Linked DNA regions of Lytechinus pictus. The protein of the gene in region 3 purifies or fractionates together with the protein of the main gene of each other region. This does not show direct contact. Links are inferred from orthologs where the notes say so. Each region holds a gene or a part of one and is shown on either strand. Other genes may lie near its edges.

Evidence for each region.
Region 1: the proteins of transcription initiation factor TFIID subunit 1-like (region 3) and transcription initiation factor TFIID subunit 6-like purify together in Drosophila melanogaster (affinity purification with western blotting; 3 studies listed by BioGRID, with this or other methods). This does not show direct contact. The link is inferred for Lytechinus pictus from reciprocal best matches to the Drosophila melanogaster genes Taf1 and Taf6.
Region 2: the proteins of transcription initiation factor TFIID subunit 1-like (region 3) and transcription initiation factor TFIID subunit 9-like purify together in Drosophila melanogaster (affinity purification with western blotting; 3 studies listed by BioGRID, with this or other methods). This does not show direct contact. The link is inferred for Lytechinus pictus from reciprocal best matches to the Drosophila melanogaster genes Taf1 and Taf9.

Annotation. Positions count from the first base shown.
Region 1 is NC_087260.1:23,354,371-23,361,724, reverse strand, and holds the start of transcription initiation factor TFIID subunit 6-like, read right to left. Parts: upstream 3,098-7,354; 5' UTR 2,979-3,097; intron 2,931-2,978; exon of another isoform or gene 2,810-2,930; intron 1-2,809. Other genes in the region: acyl-coenzyme A thioesterase 9, mitochondrial-like, read left to right, coding at 3,635-3,675. UniProt on the Drosophila melanogaster protein: TFIID is a multimeric protein complex that plays a central role in mediating promoter responses to various activators and repressors.
Region 2 is NC_087260.1:4,330,327-4,337,480, reverse strand, and holds the start of transcription initiation factor TFIID subunit 9-like, read left to right. Parts: upstream 1-4,057; 5' UTR 4,058-4,068; coding exon 4,069-4,189; intron 4,190-7,154. UniProt on the Drosophila melanogaster protein: TFIID is a multimeric protein complex that plays a central role in mediating promoter responses to various activators and repressors.
Region 3 is NW_026974140.1:16,366,816-16,374,047, forward strand, and holds the start of transcription initiation factor TFIID subunit 1-like, read right to left. Parts: upstream 3,088-7,232; 5' UTR 3,077-3,087; coding exon 2,972-3,076; intron 1,845-2,971; coding exon 1,685-1,844; intron 729-1,684; coding exon 618-728; intron 1-617. UniProt on the Drosophila melanogaster protein: TFIID is a multimeric protein complex that plays a central role in mediating promoter responses to various activators and repressors. Largest component and core scaffold of the complex.

The DNA.
Region 1 (7,354 bases), on a different chromosome or scaffold from region 3:
TTTTTTTTTTTTTTTTCCATTTGTACATGTAGGTATGTTACAAAAAAAATTGAGAACTGAGGTGTTTGTTTCAGAGCATCATTTAGAGCTCATCAAGACCTTTCATTTAACACCCTATTCATCTCAATAGCCCCAGTAGCCTCAACAGCTGCCATAAACATTCAACTACGTAAAAACACTTCAGGCTCAGCCACAACATTGCCTTGGCTTCACTCACACGTATTGCAAGGTAAGTATGCTATACTAACCTTGCACTACGAACGTGTTTACGCAATGGATTTTAGAGATGTCAGTTAACATCGCTTCATAACACAAATAATGTTAGCCGAAACTCATTCAGCTACTCACCAGGGCTTTTTTTTGTTGAAAAGCGTTCTATTTTCAATTTTAAAAATATTTTAAATATAAAAAGCACATAAAAAAGAGCAAACTCGCTAACCTCGGCCTGGAAAGTGGCTTCGCATGTCTCTTCCACGGAAATGAAAGGAAGGTCGTTACTGGCGCTAATACAATTCACAACCTTAATTCAGCTTGTCAGTATTTTTAAACTAGATCCTTGATTTATTGTATGCGCATTTCCTATGATTGTTTGATAAAATAGAGACACACATTGGACACTTTGCCGACTTCACGTAACGCTTGCATCGACTTTACGTGTAATACAGTTTTTGTGCCTAGTCAAAACTGTTTTTGTGCAAATAGTCTAAATCAGTTCAAATCCAGACTTGAAAAATTTTGGCACAACCATCCTCTGAAGTACAGACCTTACCAAAGATAAGAAAATCAACGAGTAGCACATAAGCAGATTGCTTTACATCTCAACATCCAAGTAAATCCAAGTAGTCTTTCCCTTAAATTAATTAATTAATTGTAGTGTCTTTGATATGAGGATAAATCGCGCGCCCTCTCTAGCTAATTAGACGGAAAAATATTTGGGAAATAGAAGCAAGCTCCGTATTTTGTCAACGAGAAGAAAAATCAATGCTTAAATTGACGCTATTTGAGGGATATTCATCATATTACATGCATTAGGGGGAATTGACTTCCATGACATGCATCGTTCGGTAAGTTTCATAGGATTTGATTTTATGAATCATCTTCTGAAATTTGCAGGAGTTTGTTGCAATTTTGCATGCGCCTTGCCTTCATTTTTCCTGTACACCCAGTTGGACGATCAATTTTAGAAAGTCATTTGGAAAAATTTACAAGCGAAGTTTCAGCAATTTTTAGTACAAAATGTTACTGTTAGGAAATATTATAAAGAACAAAATAGAAGATGACTACAATTTAGATTAAATTCATATTCTTAGTGTAATCCAAACAAAGACAAAAAAGAAGGCTTCAAAAATATAAAGTGTCCGGACACCCGACCCCCATCCTACATGGCGGCAGTAATGCACCCATGGCATGGGTGCCTTGGGCTTGGCTTTTGCCCTGCCCCTGGCTTGGCCTTGCCACATCGCCATCGGGAATTTTAAGCTCCATTATTTTCAGTTCACTTTCAGCATCGATCGATCTTGTTCTTAATCTTTATTCTTAGTCATGTTAGTCTTCTTCTTCTTCAAGCTACACTGCCTCCTTCAATCCTGAAGATTCTTGCAGTATTGTAGTACCGGGGACCGGCAGGTGCAATACACCGGGTGAACACCCTACTCTTTGACGAATAGTGTATTGGTTTTAACGTGAATAGGTTGTGACTCTCCTATAGTAGCTATACACGGGACCAACATTTGCGTCCTTTCCGATGGACGGAGTGTTTTCCAACTGCATTCACACCCGCACTGAACACAGCGGTGAGGCACGTTAACACACAACGCTAGCATCAGTTTTTTTGTAAGACGTCTTCCGGCATGCTGCGGGACTCGAACCCACGCACGTTGAGATCTACGAGTACGATCTTATCCGGAACAGGCGCTCTAAGACCAAGTCTAAGACCTAAGTTTCTAATCTAAGTATGGTTGGAACTACCCCTTATCGACCACCTAATCTTCTCAGCATCGTATCTGCGAAAATATTCATCAATTTTACCCAGTTTTAGTCCCATTTGTGCAGAAAATTGAGCAGATCAGATTCCCATGTTTCGCTCGGCGACTCCGATTCAATCCGCGTATATATCGACGAACAACGAATACAACGATTTTACATTTGCTCATTTGCACCCGTCTTTTGAAACCGACCACCCGCGATACACTAAGTTTACGGCCGATTCTTGTCGCGGTGGCGAAATATTTTTACTCTTCCAAATCAGTTCTATGATGTCAACATGCTAAATGATCGTCTCACTACTTCCACTGCGAGCTCCGGCACATGATTCGACGATTGACGACGGATATTTGTTCTAAAGCCGTTTCCTATCGGACTTCTTGGTTTTTCAGCGGGAATTGGGTCTGGTCAATACAATTTTGATTAATTCTACTAAATTTTTACTTTTTGTTGCTTCTTTTTTTCTCGTAAAATCGATTCTTACCGTTTCTATGGACACTGCGCCTACTCTCCCGCGCGTATCGTTTGTAATACGCAATAATTTTAACGCGCGCAAGGTGGTCGGTTTCAAAAGAGGTGGTCGATATGTGGTAGTCTCACCATATAGTAACTAGTGAGTCACTAGTCTAACCGACCGAGTCTGACTCTGAGCTACACTGCCTCCCATCTCAGTCGGTCTCAGTAGGACTTCATCTTCACAGTATTATTTTTTATTATTGACTGAAGTAAGTGATCAAAATTTATGCAAACGTGCAAGTCAAGTCAAAGGTAGAAAAAAAAAACGGTCGAATCGAAACACAGAAACGTGATTGCCCCTACGCCCTATATGCATAAGAATCGCACGCACGGGCATGACGGGTTGAGCTGGTGTATGGACCGGATACGGACTACACAACACGGCGTTAGTTTACTTTAAAAAAAAATATTTTAAGTTCAAGTTTATGCAGGTAAGCAACGATAAATTTGTCATGTAAACCTATATAATCTTGGCTCACCTTATCAAAAGGACTTCAATTCAAGCCGGGTGAGACAGTGATTGTCCAGTGATTTTTTTAACGACAACTCTTCTCATGGGTCCACTGCGCTGCCAGAAGAAAAGTATATTTCACGTTATATTAGACCAACGAACGTAGAGGGCAGCAACACACAAGCGTGTTGCTCTATCTAGCTAAGGAAGGTCAACTCCGCTCGAATTTTGTGACCACTCTAAAAAATAAGGTGGGGTTTTGGGAAATTTGTCGAGTTGATTTTTTTTCATTTGATAATTTCAAATATTTTTAATGAACAATTATTAGATCGCTTATTCTGGGTATAAATATTAAAAATATTATTCTTATTTTTAAAGAAAATATTTAGCTTCAATAATCATGATTTTGACATTTTTCCTCATTTTGGAATATTAAGTCTATGACGAGGATACCCCTAATCTGTTATTTTCTTCTGCTGAATTTCGCTGCACCACTAATAAATGCATAGACAACCACCGTAATAATCGAGGTCATTTTTCCGGCCTGGGTGCGCCGAGTCTGGGCCGGTCGCGCAGCTAGCTATAGTGACGTTGATGATGCGCTGGGGCTTCAGGCGACTCGTCATAGATCTTCTAGCAACATAGACAATGACGTCTAATTTGCCTGGCCTGATTTGAAGTGTAATGGCTTCAGGGCTGATGTTAATCAACGATGATTGTTCAAGGTTAGATTTCAAATTTTAATTGTCATTTGACTTTTAAGTCTATAAATCTGAAATAAAGGCGCTGTATCCCCGAAATCCGGGTCTAAATTTCAACTCCGAGTCCGAGACCATGGCATGGACGTCGAAAAACAACAACCCACGCATCGGATGCATTGCATTGGCTGCGCGCTGCGCTGCAGCTGCACTGTGATGATGGATTCAGCGAAGAGCTCAGAGAAAATAAGGTGGTCATATTCAATCCCGAAATGCTTTGCGAGTGGTCACAAAATCGTCTCGACGCAAATCACCTAAAGGCCACCGCACACCTTACGACTGTCCGCGATCCGATTTTGGAACAAATCGCATTTTGCTCATTTTCTGAAAATGTGAATGGAACATATCATTTAATTTGAGGTTTAAATTAATTGAAAGAATACTAATATAACCATTTTGAAAGATTGCAAGCCTTTATTTCTGAGTAAAGGCCAAATTAGTTTCAAATCGTAGCCAATCGTACGACTGCTATGACGTCATTACGACTAGATATTAAATTCGCTTTTATTCTAAGAAGGATGATAGCATAGTCACAGATTTGAACATAGGTATTCGTACGATGATTTAGAACATTACACAGTAAGATATTCCAAATCTCAATGTTAGCATCAAATTCTACTACATTTCATTCTGAAATCGGGTCGCAGACCAATCGTAAGGTGTGCGGTCGCCTTAATACAGCCGTCTGGTGAAATCGCTGATAACAACAATCACCGATTTGGTAATGATTTAGTTTCTAAAACTTATATTTGTAAAGTTTTAAATATCAACGTATGTTTTCAAATGTACGTATATTCTCCAACATAATTTTTTAATGTTATCTTTGATATCGTTGTAGTCATATTCTTTCATATTGTTTTCGTGATCGCTACTAATTTGTTGTTGTATTGGATCGGCGTATGATTTCGTTGGCATAAATGATAAAATATGCGCGTACCTCAGCTGCATGCGCGTATTGAGTTGACCTTCCTTAGAGCAACACGCTTGTGTGTTGCTGCCCTCTACGTTCGTTGTAATAGACGTAGACAAACGAACGTAGAGGGCAGCAACACACAAACGTGTTGCTCTATCTAGCTAAGGAAGGTCAACTCCGCTCGAATTTTGTGACCACTCTAAAAAATAAGGTGGGGTTTTGGGAAATTTGTCGAGTTGATTTTTTTTCATTTGTTAATTTCAAATATTTTTTAATGAACAATTATTAGATCGGTTATTCTGCAGATCATCCGAAAAATCAAGATGAACAAAAACATATAAACATTTAAAAGAAATACATAGACGTATACAGGGGCCGCGGAGCGGGGGGGGGGGGGGGGCTTCAGCCCCCCACTTTTTTCCAAAACCGTGTACAAAAACGTAAAAATTACCATATGATTGTGATTTTTGCATGGTCAGCCCCCCCCCCCCCACTTTGAAAACCGTTCCGCGGCCCCTGGTATAGGCCTATCACCAGAAAGACTATAATATATAGTCGCATTCACCTGTGTGCAAGAACATCACAATTCCCTTATCAAAATGTGCTTATCAAGAGTGTACAAAATAATAAAATTATACGTCCCTAACAATTAAGAGGGATATATTATGATATAAATTGTTCCTTTTCTTCTTGTTCTGGCCATGACTTTAAATCATATTTGTCTATTAATAATCAAACTGCATATTTCAGACCTATTTCAAGCACTGAAATAATTAATATTGTTATTGTTAAATACAAGTCCAAGCTATAATGGTATATATAGTATAGAAATGTCGGTCATTAAAAAAAAACTATTTTGATCAGCAGTGAGCCATTAAGTGCATTATTTAATAAGTGTTTTGAATTGGGATCATTTCCATGTCAACTACAGATTGCAAAAGTTATTCCAGTTCATAAAAAAAGGGTCCTTCTGAAATTATGTCTAATTATCGACCTATCTCATGCAGTATACAAGCTATCTTTTCTAAAATATTAGAAAAATGTATCTATCTATAACCGATTGTTAAATTTTATCATAAAGTGCAATGTATTGAACCCTACTAATGATATGGTTTTAGCCAGGATATTCCACATCTGCTTTATTGGTAAATTTTATTCAGAAAGTTACTCGTGCATGCAATAGATGATGAAGAAATTATGATTGCTTGTTTATAGATCTCAGCTGAGCTTTCGGTAAGATCGACCATTTTATTTTATTAGAAAAAACTAAACTCTTATGGAATTAAAGGAATCACATTGGATCTTTTCAAAAGTTATTTAGGTAATCGCAAACAATGTAGTGATAAGTTTTATCTTAATATTGCAAAATGCGGAATTTCGCAGGGTTCAATACTCGGCCCTCTATTGTTTTTATTGTACATGATTTCTGTATTAAAAGGCCTCTGACCAGTGGCATACCTAGGATTTTCCACAGGGGGGGGCAAAACCGTCCGCCCAAAAATTTAACAAGCAAAAAAAAAAAAAAAAAAAAAAAAAAAAAGGTCTTCAAGTCAGGGGGCATTGAAGGACTTAAAGCTCGTCAGAGGGGCAAAAAAGGTTTTTCAAGCCCGTCAGGGAGGGCAAAGATACGTTTTTGCATGGGTTGTGACTCGTCAGGGGGGCAGAGTGCCCCCCCTGCCCCCCCCCCCCCCGTAGGTACGCTAGTGCCTCTGACCTTTTAAAATGTATTCTAGTTGGCTTCACCACCTTTCTCTAGCTCATCTTTCATGATCATCGAGAAACGCAACCCGGATTAAAACCAACTGGTGTACGTATTTCCGTGGTGTGAACGGGTGCTTTACCTTCCTTCCTGGTTTTCTCCCTCCGCTGCTTTCGGAGATCAGCCCTATGAAGGCAATAGTATCCATAATAAATAACCATCCAGGGTTAAGAGTAGACAGGACAAGTCGTATACCGTTACCGTATAGCAGACGCTCTTGACTTTCATGATTGATGTGCTAACGAAGCGACTGGCGAATGACCGGATAAAATGTCTGTTACTCGATTATGGTAAGTAATTTCGATGATTATTTGTATCTGCAAAACTTTTGATGCATTTTGATGTATTTGCAGTAGTTTGCATTCAAATTAAGCCCAGAAAAATAGTATAAATCATGTTATGCCCGCTGGGAAGCCCAGTCCCATACGTTTAAAATTGTGTTTCCTTTTCCATATTTTGGAGTGTCGCGGCACTCGCACGTATTGCGAGGTTAGTTAGTATACTAACGCCCGTAACGGTAACAATTTGTTTAACAAACGTTGCGAATGTAATTATGAATGATGCTATGATTAATGTTTGGCCTTAACATGTGTTTTAGTTAAACATATGTGTAAGTACGATGTTATGGATGTCTGAAAACGCTAAACGTTACATCTGCATCTTAAACTCAGTCTCAGTCTCAGATTAATTTTTCTAAGACTAAGTCTAGACAAGGCCTGGCTTAGGGAAGTTCACCCTGAAAAGTTCATTGTAAAAATAGCAGAAAAAATAATTATAAAAATCTTGGCGAAGGTTTTAGGAAAATCCATCAGAATAAAAATTGATTAGAATTGTTATTATCTGGTTTGTGACGTCATTTGCGAGCAGCTTTCCTACATATCGTATGGTAATTAAAATTTTTTTAAAAGGTCATGGGAAGATGCAGTGTCAAATAAACTTGAGGATCTGGGAAGATCACTGACAGAGATGACAGA
Region 2 (7,154 bases), on a different chromosome or scaffold from region 3:
TTGAAAAAGTGTTACGAATGTCCAGTTTTTAGGTTGGAAAATCAAAAACTTTCAGGAATCTAATAAAATAATGCTAGCGCGAAGCGCGAGCATTATTTTATTAGATTCCTATCCTGTTCATGATTTTTATAAAACTGTTAAGAATGTACAGTTTTTAGGTTGGAAAATTACAAACTTAAGCTCGCGCTCGCATCTATTATTTAGTTACATTCCTATTCTGTTCATGATATGAAAAAGTTTTACGAATGTTCAGTTTTTAGGTAATTCCTAGCTATCCTGTTCATAATTTGAAAAAGTGTTACAAATGTCCAGTTTTTAGGTTGCAAAATCAAAAACTTTCAGCTCGCGCTTCGCGCTCGCATTATTTATAGAGGCCTTTCATCTTTAGTCAGGAATACCTCCTCTTCGAAATGTATGTATGTATATATATATTATAATTATATATATATATGTATGTATGTGTGTGTGATGGTGTGTGTGTGTTTGAGTTAGTAACTCTGTAGAACATAACAACGGAAAACTCAAATGTGGCCCCCTTAATTTTAGGAAGAGATTTCCGCCCATGTCCTAGCCTGGATCTTCTGAGCACCTTAGTTAATGGTGAACTCTGCCAACTCTGGTCCAGCAAACTCCTCTGTCTGTCTTATGGACGTTCCACAGTTATGTTTGTGCGCATTATGATCTGCGCATATTTTAAACTCTGCGCGCTGACGTCACAATGGATGAACAAGTGATTAATTAGCTGTGAGTATGAGCTGAATTTTCTCATCATCTGCACTCTAACTGCAGATCCGATGCGTTATTTTATGAAGCTAAGAAAATAGAATTATTCCATGGACCATTTTTTTAAATATCTCTACAATTTCAAAATACTTTACTCTGCAGTGCTGCCAAGAATCACGAATATGTCCCCGAGTTTGAATAAATGGTAGAGTGGTTTTGATTTTTTCCTCACATAGATACAAAGCATTCGACGCATTTTTGGTGTTTTAAAAAGCACATTTGCTCTAATAAAAATGCTGATAGTTTATAAACAAGCACATGAACCCCTATTTTTTAATGTTTGTACTTCTTAGGTATACCTTCCTCTACAACTTTGCAAATTTTGGTGAAAATGACATGGATTTTGAATAAAGTGCAGCATTTATTGTACGTTTGTAGTTTGTTACTGAAATTTTACATTTTTTAGATTGGGATTTTGTTATATTTTACGCAATTTTTAAGAACTGACAGTGCTGTTAAACTTAAAATTGCAAACAAATAGCACTATTAATAGATTCTCAATTCTAACGATACAATTATTAATTCTCTTGCGAAATTTGATGACTTTTTCATGTATTTTGACTGAGTAATGGAGGTTTAAACTCATTGTAGTAATCTTGGGCGGTCTAAAAATGCCAAATTCTTTTGAATGCGCGAACTTTGAAGCTCTATAGCAAAAAATCAAGCACATGGACCTATGTTAATTTTTGCATATTTCGAATATTAAGGTTCTAAAGTATCTATGTGCAAAGTTTGGTGAAAATGACATGGATTTCACTTTAACTGTGGAACGTCCTTAAATGCTGTCCGTGCATCACCTTCTCTTTCCATCCTTCCAATCTCATTTTCCTAGGATCAGCCTTCAGCTTTCGCTGTCATATCCTTTCCTTTCCTCATCGACTCTCTGACAAATAATAGTAATAGTTATTATTGTTATTATTATTATTGTTATTATTATCATTATTATTATCATCAGTGGCGTAGACAGGTTCGTACACCAGGGGGGGATGACTGGGCTGCCAACGCTGTTGAGGGCGCGAAGCGCCCGAGCGAGGGAGCGAAGCTACCGAGGGGGGGGGGGGAGGGTGTGGGAGGGGGGTGTCCCCCCTCCCACGGTAGGGAGCTTTTGCAATTTTGAACTTGAAATCGTGCAATCTGATGCATACTTAATGAGGTAAAATAACACACACAAGCGCGCACGCACACACACACATACTCACCCCCCCCACACACACACACACACACACACGGGTGCGCGCACCACACACATACTACGCCTTGAATGGACAGACATACATCGACAAGATCTACACACCGTGGCATACGAATACAGAATGGACTGACACATAGTATTGCATATTGAACCACACTACGTATTTATTTATCTCTGTGAATTTTGCTGTTACACCTCTTCAGAAAAAAACCCAATGTCAACTGTGTACACGCAGGTATAGTCTTTGTTGTCTTGATATGGGTATGTGGTTATGAATGAAAACAGCCTCTGTGGCCATTTGTGAATAGAACACATAAACAACAAACAAATAACAATATGTCTGTTCATTATAAAGCATAATGAATACGTACATACTATGCTTTTTTTTACCTCAAAGAAACAGGCATAGTATCCATAGATGGATATTGGCTGGCGGCTCATTAACATACAGATACAAAAAACATAAACAGTATCACTATGATCCATGGAGTAACAATACTGCTCTGTAAGTTTGTGAAGAAATCGGAACCATAACGGCATTGCATCGTTTCAAATTAGAGCATTATTTACTTCTATTTGATCTCAGTCTTATAATAGTAATAATAATAATAATAATAATAATAATAATAATAATAATAATAATAATAAAAAAAAATAATAATACTAATACAAATAATAATGCTAATACTAATAGGTTCCTTTTATCTCGCATTTCAAGACAGGGTAAATTCACACTGCGCTTTACATGAAACAAACTTCTTTAAACATTTCAAACTTATGTCTTCATGCATCAATCAACATACTTTAAATGAATACAAAACAAAGTGCATCTTAAATAAAACAAAAATAAATAAATAGTTAACAATACAGAAAAGATGTAGCTGCTGCAAGCTTAACAACAAACTAATGTATACCAGTCAGTCCTGATATCAGTATTAGTGTAACAATAGTCATATAGTGGGAGCATGAAGTTGAACAATTCATGATTATACATAATTATATATGTTTGTTTGAATAATACTTGTTATAAAGATAGTAGTATGGTACTCTCTGTCACGAATTATTATGTATACTGTTGTATCACATTCATTTTCTATTCTGTTTTAGATTGCGCTGATGCATTTTACACACAATGTATAATGCCTATAACACGAGTGGGCCAGACCACACATGTATTTCAATAAAAACCGACTTGAGAAAATAACGTGTATATAAATATATAAATAAATAAATAAATAAATGCATATAATGTATATATATATGTATAAATATCATATACCTGTAATATAATCTGATATAAACTAATAAATAAATAAATAAATATAATACATATCATATATGAGAAGGTATTGCTAGTACTCGGTTCGTGCCTGAAAAGTAGTCTCGATGAAAAGAAAAAAAGTTGTTGCTTCATTCCCATACCAAAAACAGCTTGATTAACAGTTGCTAATCAGATAATAGAGACATGCGGTAAGTTGGTAAACTTACTTAAGGAGCATTCATGGCTCAACAAACAAACATATCGGTCTCTTAGTCAGTTTTACTTTTGTAGTCTTGCAAATTTGTGTCTTAGAAACCAAATATCTTGCGCCTCTTTTCGTTCCTGCCCAGTAAATACTTGTAAGATTTTCTTTTTTTTACCGTCTGAATTGGCTTTCACCGTGTGAATGCGGCTAATAACAATAAACACAATTACAATAATGATGAGGATTATTATTATCATCATCATAATTATTATTATTATTAATATTATAATTGTTATCATTATTATTATTACTATTATTATCATCATTATGACTTATTAAGTAACCAAATATCATTCCCCAAAACCTGGGGGGGATGATTGTACATGCCATCCCCCCCACCTTGTGAGGTGGGGGGGATGCATCCCCCTCATCCCCCCCGTTGTCTACGCCCCTGATTATCATTATTATTTTAATCCTTATCCTTACCATTATTCTATTCATTTGAGTTTATTAAACAAATATTTTGCGGTTTGTGATCGAGGTGGATGATCACGTCACTGGTCGATCAAATCAAAATCGATTGCTTTGCTGCCATCTACGACAATAAGTTATACAGCTTTTGTCAAGATGGCTAGTTCCAACAAAACCCAGCCCCGCGATGCCGAAATTATGACAGCTATTTTGAAAGATATGGGAGTGACAGATTACGAGCCAAGAGTGATAAATCAGATGCTGGAATTTGCATATAGTGAGTATTGTAAATGAAAATGAGTAAGAAATAAACTATAAGTCAAAAATATCTTGAAGAATCGGGCACATCCAGTGCAGTGGCAGTGGGACCATGTCCATGGACTATGACGATTTGCACTCGCGGGCCCCATGCCATGGGGCGCGGTGGGGCCGGGCAGGAGCTATGATAACCCAGGGAGCTCCCGCCCGCGCAGCGGGAGGGAGCCCAGGACTGGCAGGAGCTTACCGTGTATTTGACCATAGTCACCGGACTAGGCCTAGGGTGATTTATGGTCTAAATATTTCTCCAAATGAATTGTGAAAACAGAAAGTATACCACAATTATATGGATGAAGGTCTAACGAGTGGCAGTTTCCGGACATCTGGGCACAGACTGGAACCTCAAAAAAACGAAAAGTTCTCTCCTCTACCCCAGTCCCCAGTCTCGATCGGCCATTTTGTTACGATTTTTAACAAAAATGGCCGATCGAGACGGGGGTAGAAGGAGAGAACTTTTCGTTTTTTTGAGGTTCAAGTCTGTGCCCAGATGTCAGGAAACTGCCACTCGTTAGACCTTCATCCATATAATCGTGGTAATTGTATACTTTCTGTTTTCACAATTCATTTGGAGAAATATTTAGACCATAAATCACCCTAGTCCGGTGACTATGGTAAAATACACGGTAAGCCCCTGGGCTCCTGCCCGCTGCGCGGGCGCTCCCTGGGTTAGGGCTATGACTGAGTATGACGGCGTCCGCGTCAAGGACGTGGACGTTTTATAGTAATAGTGGCAAGGTGCCCCAAGACTGTTCAGTGCCCTTTAGGCTTTAATAAAAAGAAGATACCAAAGACCACAAAATATAGAATCTACACCCCTGAAATACATACACAGATAGGCGTGTTCATTAAAAAATCCGACTCAAAATGGTGGAAAAATATTGAATTCAGATTTCAGGCATTTCAATGTCACACTGGGGTCACGGCCTCAAAATGCAGCCTTTTTTACTTTATCATCAAAATCGTGTGTAACGTTAAAGTAAATGGGTGCGCGGACAAGTCAAGGGGCACCTTCTTTTGTTCAATCTGAAAATGACTGTCCGAGGGTTTTTCCAAGAATTTAATAGAAAATCATATATATTTTTTTCAAATTTTCACGAGATTTTTGGCTTACGGTACCCATTAAGAATATAGATAAGGAACAACATCAACTGAAAACTTTTGTGGAATAAAATTCATGTTTAACTTTAATCTTAAGTTAAAGTTTTAGGTGCGCAGACATGGGGCTCCCCTTCATACTAGTGGATCGTATTATTACCGATTGCTTTTCATGAATTCAATCATATCAAACCAAATATTCTTATAAAATTCACCAAACTTTCACCATAAATGCATGAATACCTAAGTTATAAATAATCTAGAACCTATGTAAAAATTTTTCCAAAATCGTTTTCTTTTTTACGCTATCAGCATCTAAGCCAAGGCAATTGGACCCCTCTTCACAGTCCTCGGCTTTGCATGTCGCCATGTGAACTGAAATCTACTACTGAACATACTGTTTTCTATGGGTGAAGTTGAGAAAGCAACAAAATCGCTGTTGAGCTAATTATTTTTAAAATATTGTATGAGTTTGAGAATAAAGATCTAGATCTGACAAAAGACTTTGAAAATGTATTTTGGACAATTTTCATCATCTTTCTATTCAATTTCTCTTTAGAATGATGTTGCAAAGTTTTGAGGGTATGAAATTATACTCTGACGCATCCTTTAAGTTTGGGACGTTGAGCTCTTTTGTTCCCCATAATCAGACTCTGGGCAGAAGATCCTATTAGGTTATATGAGTGATGCGCGCGTTCTCTAGACTGTAGACTCACTAGACTACTGACTTTACACTATTATTCCTATTAACAATTTTTTTGTTTTCTTTGTAGCCTAATGCTAGGCTCAATTTTTGTACTGCTTTTCTTTAAAATGTTGATCCCTTAATTTGTATCTGATTTATATTTGTATTTGGAATAATATATATATTAATAGTTGTTTGTATGGAAAGCAAATAAGAATCAAAGAATGGAAAGGTGTTTCAATGTGAAAAAGTTCCTTTATGAATGATGCAAAGTAGGTCTAGGCTACACCCTTTCATGTAATTTGCTTCTGGGTCACAATACTCCAGACTTTTTTATCGGATGGGCGAAAACATTTTTCAGATATTAGATTCAGGATTCAATTATATTTAATTGGTTGATGCATTCATGCAAGCTTACAAAGAAATTGGCTTTCAAATGCACAAAATACACAAAAGATGGAGAATACAATGTATCATAACAATTGAAACCTAATTTCAATTTCAATTTATTGACCATTAAAAAAAACATCAAAATATTTACAGAAATAACATGATACCAACAAAATAATACAAAATATAATGGGTAAAAAAAAGGTTATGAATAAACACACACACCCACACATCATCACACAATGCAAAAACAACACAGAAGATAGAATAGAAGATAAGACAAGAAAAAAAATGATAAAATACAATTACATGGGGGGATTGGAGTTGTTTAAATAATTGAACAAAAAATGACTTTGATAGTGACTTAAATCGCGAATGTTGTGCTGTTTTTTGATATCATATGTGAGAGAATTCCATTCTTTCACCCCGATATATCTGATCGAATTACGAATAAAATTAATTTTAGAAAAAGGAATACGTAAGTTGATATGTTGTCTAGTAGGGTAATTATGAATTTGAGAGTTTGAAAGATTGGGGAGAAATTTTCTGGAAGGGTGGCTTTGTGAAATTTAAACATGAAAATCCATGTATTTAAAGGGATGGTCCGGGCTGAAAATATTTATAATTTAATACATAGAGTAGAATTCACTGAGCAAAATGCTGAAAATTTCATCAAAATCGAATAACAAATAATAAAGTTATTGAAGTTTAAAGTTTAGCAATATTTTGTGAATAACAGTCGTCATGAATATTC
Region 3 (7,232 bases):
TGTATATCCAATAATGATCACTGCCCTTCTCATCCTAAAAATTACATTTCTCCCTTCTCTGTTAGAACGTTGCGGAGCGTTGTGGCCCAGTGGATTAGTCTTCTGACTTTGAAACAGAGGGTAGTGGGTTCGAATCCCAGCCATGGCGTAATTTCCTTCGGCAAGAAATTCATCCACATTGTGCTGCACTCAACCCAGGTGAGATGAATGGGTACTTGACAGGAATTTATTCCTCGAAATGCCACCGTGCTGTAAAAGGCTGCGGGGCTAAAGCCAGGGAAGCGCATAGGGACGTTATGACATGTGATATGCGCTTTACAAGAACTGCGTTATTATTATTATAACGTGGTCATCAACACATTTCAAATATTAATTACCTATTCCATTAAGCTGTAACAGGAAAAATAAAATGGGCATACAGTAATTGTCTCCTTACATAATGAGATATCTCTACGATGTTGATATGAAATATTTAGTATAAATGTGCAAATAGAGCTATCGTATCAAGTATCAGAAACTACTTTTCCATGGAATGTGGTGGAATATTACAAACACCACCTTGCAGCAACATCATTTTCAATAGCAGATTATTTTACTCTAGAATCCAAAGTTATTACCTTTATTTTGTGTAGACATAGAAGCCATTGTATCTATATAGACCTGTTCTTCTTCGGCCATCTCTGTAATGTCGGAGTAATCCACAGCTTCAACTGCTTTCTCTTTCTCACCTGTAATACATACAACACAAGAAATGAATTAAAATAATGTATACTCCTTGCTGAATTCTACTGTAAATAAACAATAAACTCTCTGATGTTCAGCCCAATCAGTCATCAATGTCACCATGTCAGTCTACAATCAAATACTATGATAAATATGGCTGTTACTTTAAGCTTGGAAGGCAAGATGTAATAATGTACAATAGCAAAAAGAAGTTCATCTCATTACAGAATCAATTGCCTTCTAACTGCCCCTTGAATTTTATTGAATATGATACATATGATGGTGGGCCCCAAGTCTGCGCACCTAACAATTTGAGTTAAGATTTAACATGAATTTCTTCTTATTTCACAAAATCTTTCAGGTAATAATGTTCCTTATATTATTAAAAGTAAGTGTACCAAATTTCTCATTAAAAAATGAAAGAAAATATAGGATTTTCTTGAAAAAACCTTGGGCAGTCATTTTCAGATTGAAAAAAAATAAATGGTACCCCATGTCTGCGCACTCATTCACTTTGCACACGATTCGGGGATTTTGATGAGAAAGGCTGCATTTTGAGGCCGTCACATGAAATGCCCTAAATTCATTATTTTTCCATCATTTTGAGTCGGATTTTTTTATCAATACCTGTCTATGTATTGCATGTGTAAAGTTCGTGCTCGTTGCGTATCTTCTTTTACTAGAATCGCGCAGATACGCGTGTGCGCAGACAAGGGGGACTGCGCAGACTTGGGGGAACTTGCCATACATGTATAAATCAGTAACTCCAGTGCACAATCATTAAAATTAACAAAGATACATTATTTAAGACACATGCTTTCCAGCATCTAGATATATCTATTTCAATTCAACTCTTATCATGAGCTTATTAAGTTTAAAGAGAATATAATTTCAAGCTTTGGTAGCCCAGACCACATTATTGAATGGTCTCATCTTTCAGCCCTGCCTATCTATTCCTTACTGCTAGAGTCTTGATCAGAACCTGATTCATCATCATCATCGTAATCCTCCTCCTCGTCATCCTCCTTATCATCATCCTTCCTCTGTTCTCCAGTCAGCTCTTTAAACATAGATTCCAGACCACTCAGGGTTCCGAGACCTGAAAGGTGACACTTGGCATCCTGTTACACAATAGAATCAAATTATGATCAAAGATAGAAAAAACCCAAATACTGTACATAACAATAATATACAACATCTATAGGCTACAGCAGTTTGAACAATGTCTGCAAGTCCTGCATAATATTGTGGGGGCATCGTGGTGTAGTGGTTATGACTCCCGTCTTTCAATCTGAGGGACGTGGGTTCGAATCCAAGCCATGGCGTGTTTTCCTTTAGCAAGAAATTTACCCACATTGTGCTGCACTCCACCCAGTTGAGGTAAATGGGTACCCGGAAGAAATTCCTCAAATGCCAGAGCGCCTGTAGGCAGCACAGCTATAGCCACGGTAAAGATAATGGTAACATTATTGTAATGCGCAGTTGAGTATATACATATAGAAATTGTGCAATATAAACGTACAATTATTGTTATTATTACTATATTACCCAGGCCTGATCAGATACATGTACATGTATTTTAGACTTTGAGCAATTCCTTCCTAGCCATTTACTACACCTAGGTGGAGAGCATAGAAGATGAGTGTTGATAAATGTAGATAAAAGATGCAAGTGATGCAATGGGATTCAAACCCTGAGCCTTGTGGTTCAAAGTTCAGAGACTTGTCCACTGAGCCATAACACCTCTGTCAAGATAGAATATAACAAAAGTAAATATACTTGAGGTTAACACCACATACTCTTTGTGTCAAGTAATCCTACTTTGCTGCTGGTATGAGTGTGGTATGGTGCTACATGTATATGCAGCATATTTCTGTTTTACTTGTATTGTATTTTATTGTGCTGTATTGCATTGAACTTCCTCTCATGCAGTTACTAAAACAAATCCATATATGGAGTGAAATAGGCATTCTCAATCAAACTCTCTACGAAATTGCAACCTTGTACACATGCATGCACATAGCCTATTGAATACCATAACCAGATTAAAGCTCTTTAAAAGCAAATTGATGGGTTTATAAAGAAATATTTAAAAATGATAACACATGATAATTCTAGATTGCATTGATGCTACATGTATATTAACAACATCCACAAGTTTACTGCTATTGGTTAAACTGTCCTTGCATTGTGATTCACATGCACAGTAATGGTCAAATGTTATGAATGATATATGCACTATCCATACCTCATCAAAGACATCATCTTCTAATTGTCCACTCTTATCAATGTTACCAAACATGAATCCAGTCAATGAGAATTCATGGCCACCATCTTCATCCTCAGAATCCATCTTGCTGATCCAACCTTGTGATAGATAAACAAAAATACATGTATCTGATAAAGCTTGAATAGCAAGTTTAGGTACATACAGATTACACTTGAATATCAAGATAAGGTAAAAATGCTTTATTCAACATTAATTTTACCATATCTAAATTATGGAGCAATTGTTTGGGGAAATACACACTCAACCTACCTAGATAAAATATTGCTATTAGAAAAGAAGGCGTTGCGTGTTATTTTCAACTTGTCCTGGAGATCCCACACAGATCACTTGTTTTTCAACAATAACATTCTAAAAATAAAAACACTGTACCAATATAACTTAGGTCAATTCATGTATCAGTTAAACAATAATATGTTACCACCCATATTTCATTCTTCATTTAACAAAAAACAAAACTCTTCACAAATATCCCACACGTCAATCAGATGAATTCCATTTACCACTACCCCAGACCATCCTTACAAAATAAATTTTTACTTTTGAAGGCTCTAGACTCTGGGGAACTATTAATAATAACATCAAAGAATCACCAAGCCTAAATTCTTTCAAATATAAGTTCAAAAAATTTCTCCAAGATAACCATTGAATTAACTCTTCATCACTCAATCTCTTTTTTTTTTATAAATCAAACATAATTATCATGTGACGTACACTTTTCCATCTTTTTCGTTTTCCTGTTGATCAACGAGGTCCGTTTGTGAGTGCTGGGGCTGGATTCTGGAGACCTTTAATCTCTCTTTTTCTTATTTTCTTTTCTATTTTAATTTCCCCTATATCTTTTTAATTTAACTGGTTTATGCTCAAGTTGTTATTTTGATTTTTTTATGCTATGTAAGTACAATAATATTTATTAGGAGGCTGCACTCTACAAGCTCCGCTTTTTAGCAGCCTCCTCCATTTCCAACCTGATATGTAATAATCTTGAATATAATTTTTGTACAGGGATACTTGAATTAAGTTTTGTTCTATGTCAAAATGTACAAAACTGTAATTGTTGAAAATGGAAATAAATGAAATGAAATGAAGGTACATGTAGATAACAATTTCATAATTTCTGGTAGATCCTATTTAGTTCTATGTACGTTTTTAAAGAATCAATAAAATACTAGTGACTTATCTTGAAAAAGGCATTCTAGACCTAGTTGTGGTTTCATTTTTGTTATATTTTAACTTTTACTTCAATCAGTGGTGGATCCAGGATTTCCAAAGGGGGGGGGGGGCACATTTTACCCGAGGAACCTTTGACAAGCAAAAAAAAAGGTTATTTATCATCCAAAATTGAAGGTCTTTTTGTCCACAAAAAAATTTGACAAGCAAAAAAAGGTCCTCACTTGTGTATGAACTGCATATTTACATTACAAATTTTGATTATGGCTCTCAAACGGGGAGGGGGGATTTTCTGTGAAAGCTTGCATTCCTCTGGGTAACAATATTTAATTTTACTTGTGCAAACTCTGGGCCAATCTATTGCGCTCATTTAAAATTCTTCTTTTTCCTGTCACTTTATTCTTTAACGACAAACTTTACTTAAATTAAAGCTTATTATAGGCCAGGGGCATGTTGCATGTAAGGGTCAAATGTTTCACAAAGCCCATTTGGGTGATACAAAGAATGGTTCTTGGAAAGACATGTCCTATGTAGGCATGATGTCCTTTGCACACCACCCGCCACCATCGGTATTATAGGGAAAATGCGTTTACGGCAAGCCACCCTGACATATCACCTTTTTCCATTTTTGTTGTCATTCAATAACATGCTGATGCAGTTTATCTGGGATGGCGCCAACTTATTTTTTGTTTGAGAGCTGGCATCACTTTCATGTCGTCTAATCGCCCGGCAATAAACGACCCAAATTAATACGTGATTATAAATAATTATAATAATAATAATAATTATTCATAATCACGTATCAAATTTTGGTATTTGTTAAATAACAATTTTTATCTATAAATTGTTCTTCATTTTGTAACATCGCTAATCGAAGGTACATCATAACGAAGCGGTTCAAGGGTCAGACCTATTGTATTTGCTTTGTTGAAAAACGGATCGAGGGATCAACACAAGATTGATCTGATAAGAAACCTGTCATTTTTGCCATTCATGGTGAAATAATTTTTATCCCTTCATACGCATTAGGCGTTTGAAGGTTCAAATATCAATCAAATTCACACTTATAAACCGATTTCACCCTGTAAATATGGATTTCCTAGGGAAATCCATCCGGGTGTGGAGGTCTCGCTTAGCATATATGGAAAGAGTTTCAAGGTTCCATGATGTAGAAGTACATATGTCAAAATATTAAAAAATATCATCATGGAGTCCTAGTCACATGGATTGGAAAGGAAGACCTTCGGGTTATAGTTATTTAGTTAATCTTTTTCCTTTCCCGGCATCCATGTGACTCTCCTATTCCTATTGTTTGTATATGTTGTTTATGTGTTTGATGATGCCGAATAAATAATAATAGTCCTCAAGGCTAGGTCCCATATAGGCTCCGTGATGAAATGACAATATAAAAAATGTCATCACAGAGTCCTCTAGGCTAACATTCTCCAATTTAAACAGAAATATCTCTGTCAATATTTGACATCATGAGTTGATTTAAGGACGTTCCACAGTTATGTTTGTGCGCATCATGATCTGCGCATATTTTACGCTCTGCGCGCTGACGTCACAATGGATGAACATGTGATTTAATCAGCTGTAGGTAATGTGAGCTGATTTTTCTCCTTATCAACATTAACTGCAGATCTGATGTGTTATTTTATGAAGCTAATAAACTGGAATTATTCCATGGACCATTTTTTTTAATTCCTCTACAATTTCAAAATAGTTTCTCTGTAGTGCTGCAAACTATGATGAATATGACCCCGAGTATGAATAAATGAAAAAGTGGTTCAGAATTTTTCCTCACAGATACTGCTTTTGGCGCGTGTTTTAAGAAGCAAATTTGCTCTAATAAGAGTGCTGATAGTTTGAAAACAAGCACATAAACCCATATTTTTAAATGTTTGCACCTCTTAGGTATACCTTCTTGTACAACTTTGCAAAGTTTGGTGAAAATGACATGGGTTTTGAATAAAGTGCAGCATTTCTTATACTTCTCAAGTTTGTTATTAAAATTTGACATTTTTGAGGTTGAGTATCTTTCCCGCAATTTCTAAGAACTGATATTGTTGTTAGACTTAAATGAGCAAACAATTGACAGCAATCGATAGATTATCCATCTTACGGATACAATTATTAATCATATTGCAAAATTTGATGAAATTTTCATGGATTTTGACTGATTAATAGGGCTTTAATCTCAATGATGTGATCTCGTGAGGTCTAAAAATGCCGAATTCTTTTGGATGCGCAATTCTTAAGAACATCATCCATTTTGGGTTAACTTTTAAGCTCTATAGCAAAAAATCAAGCACATGGACCCATGTTAATTTTTGCATATTTGGAATATTCAGGTGCTAAAGTATCTATGTGCAAAGTATGATGAAAACGACATGGATTTTCAATGTTTGGGAGCAAGACTACGGAACCACTTGCATTTTAGACGGTATTAACAGACTTATGCTTGTTTTCGGTGCATTTTGGGCTGTTTCAAGCCAACGCGCAATACTTTGGACACTGATAATTTGAAAACGAGCACATGGACCCCAAACTTGTAATGTCTTAACTTCTTTAGAATATATTGTTTTTACAACTCTAGAGAGTATGATGAAAATGACATGGATTTTGAATGTTTGGGAGCAGGACTAAGGAACCATTCATATTTTAGACATTGTGGACGGTATTAGACTTTTGCCCGTTTTAGGCGCATTATAGACTGTTTAAAGCCAACTCGCAACACTTTGGACACTGATAATTTGAAAAAGAGCACATGGACCTCATATTTTTAATATTTTAACGTCTTCACAATATATTCCTCTATAAGTATAGAAAGTATGACGAAAATGACATGGATTTTGAATGTTTGTGAGCAGGACTAAGGAACCATTGGTGTTTCAGACATTTTTTAGACAGTATTATTAGACTTTTGCACGTTTTCGGCGCATTTTAGGTGGATTTCAATATTTTCAAGCCAACTCGCAACACTTTGGACACTGATAGTTTAAAAACAAGCACATGGACCCCATATTTTTTATATTTTAATGTCTTTAGA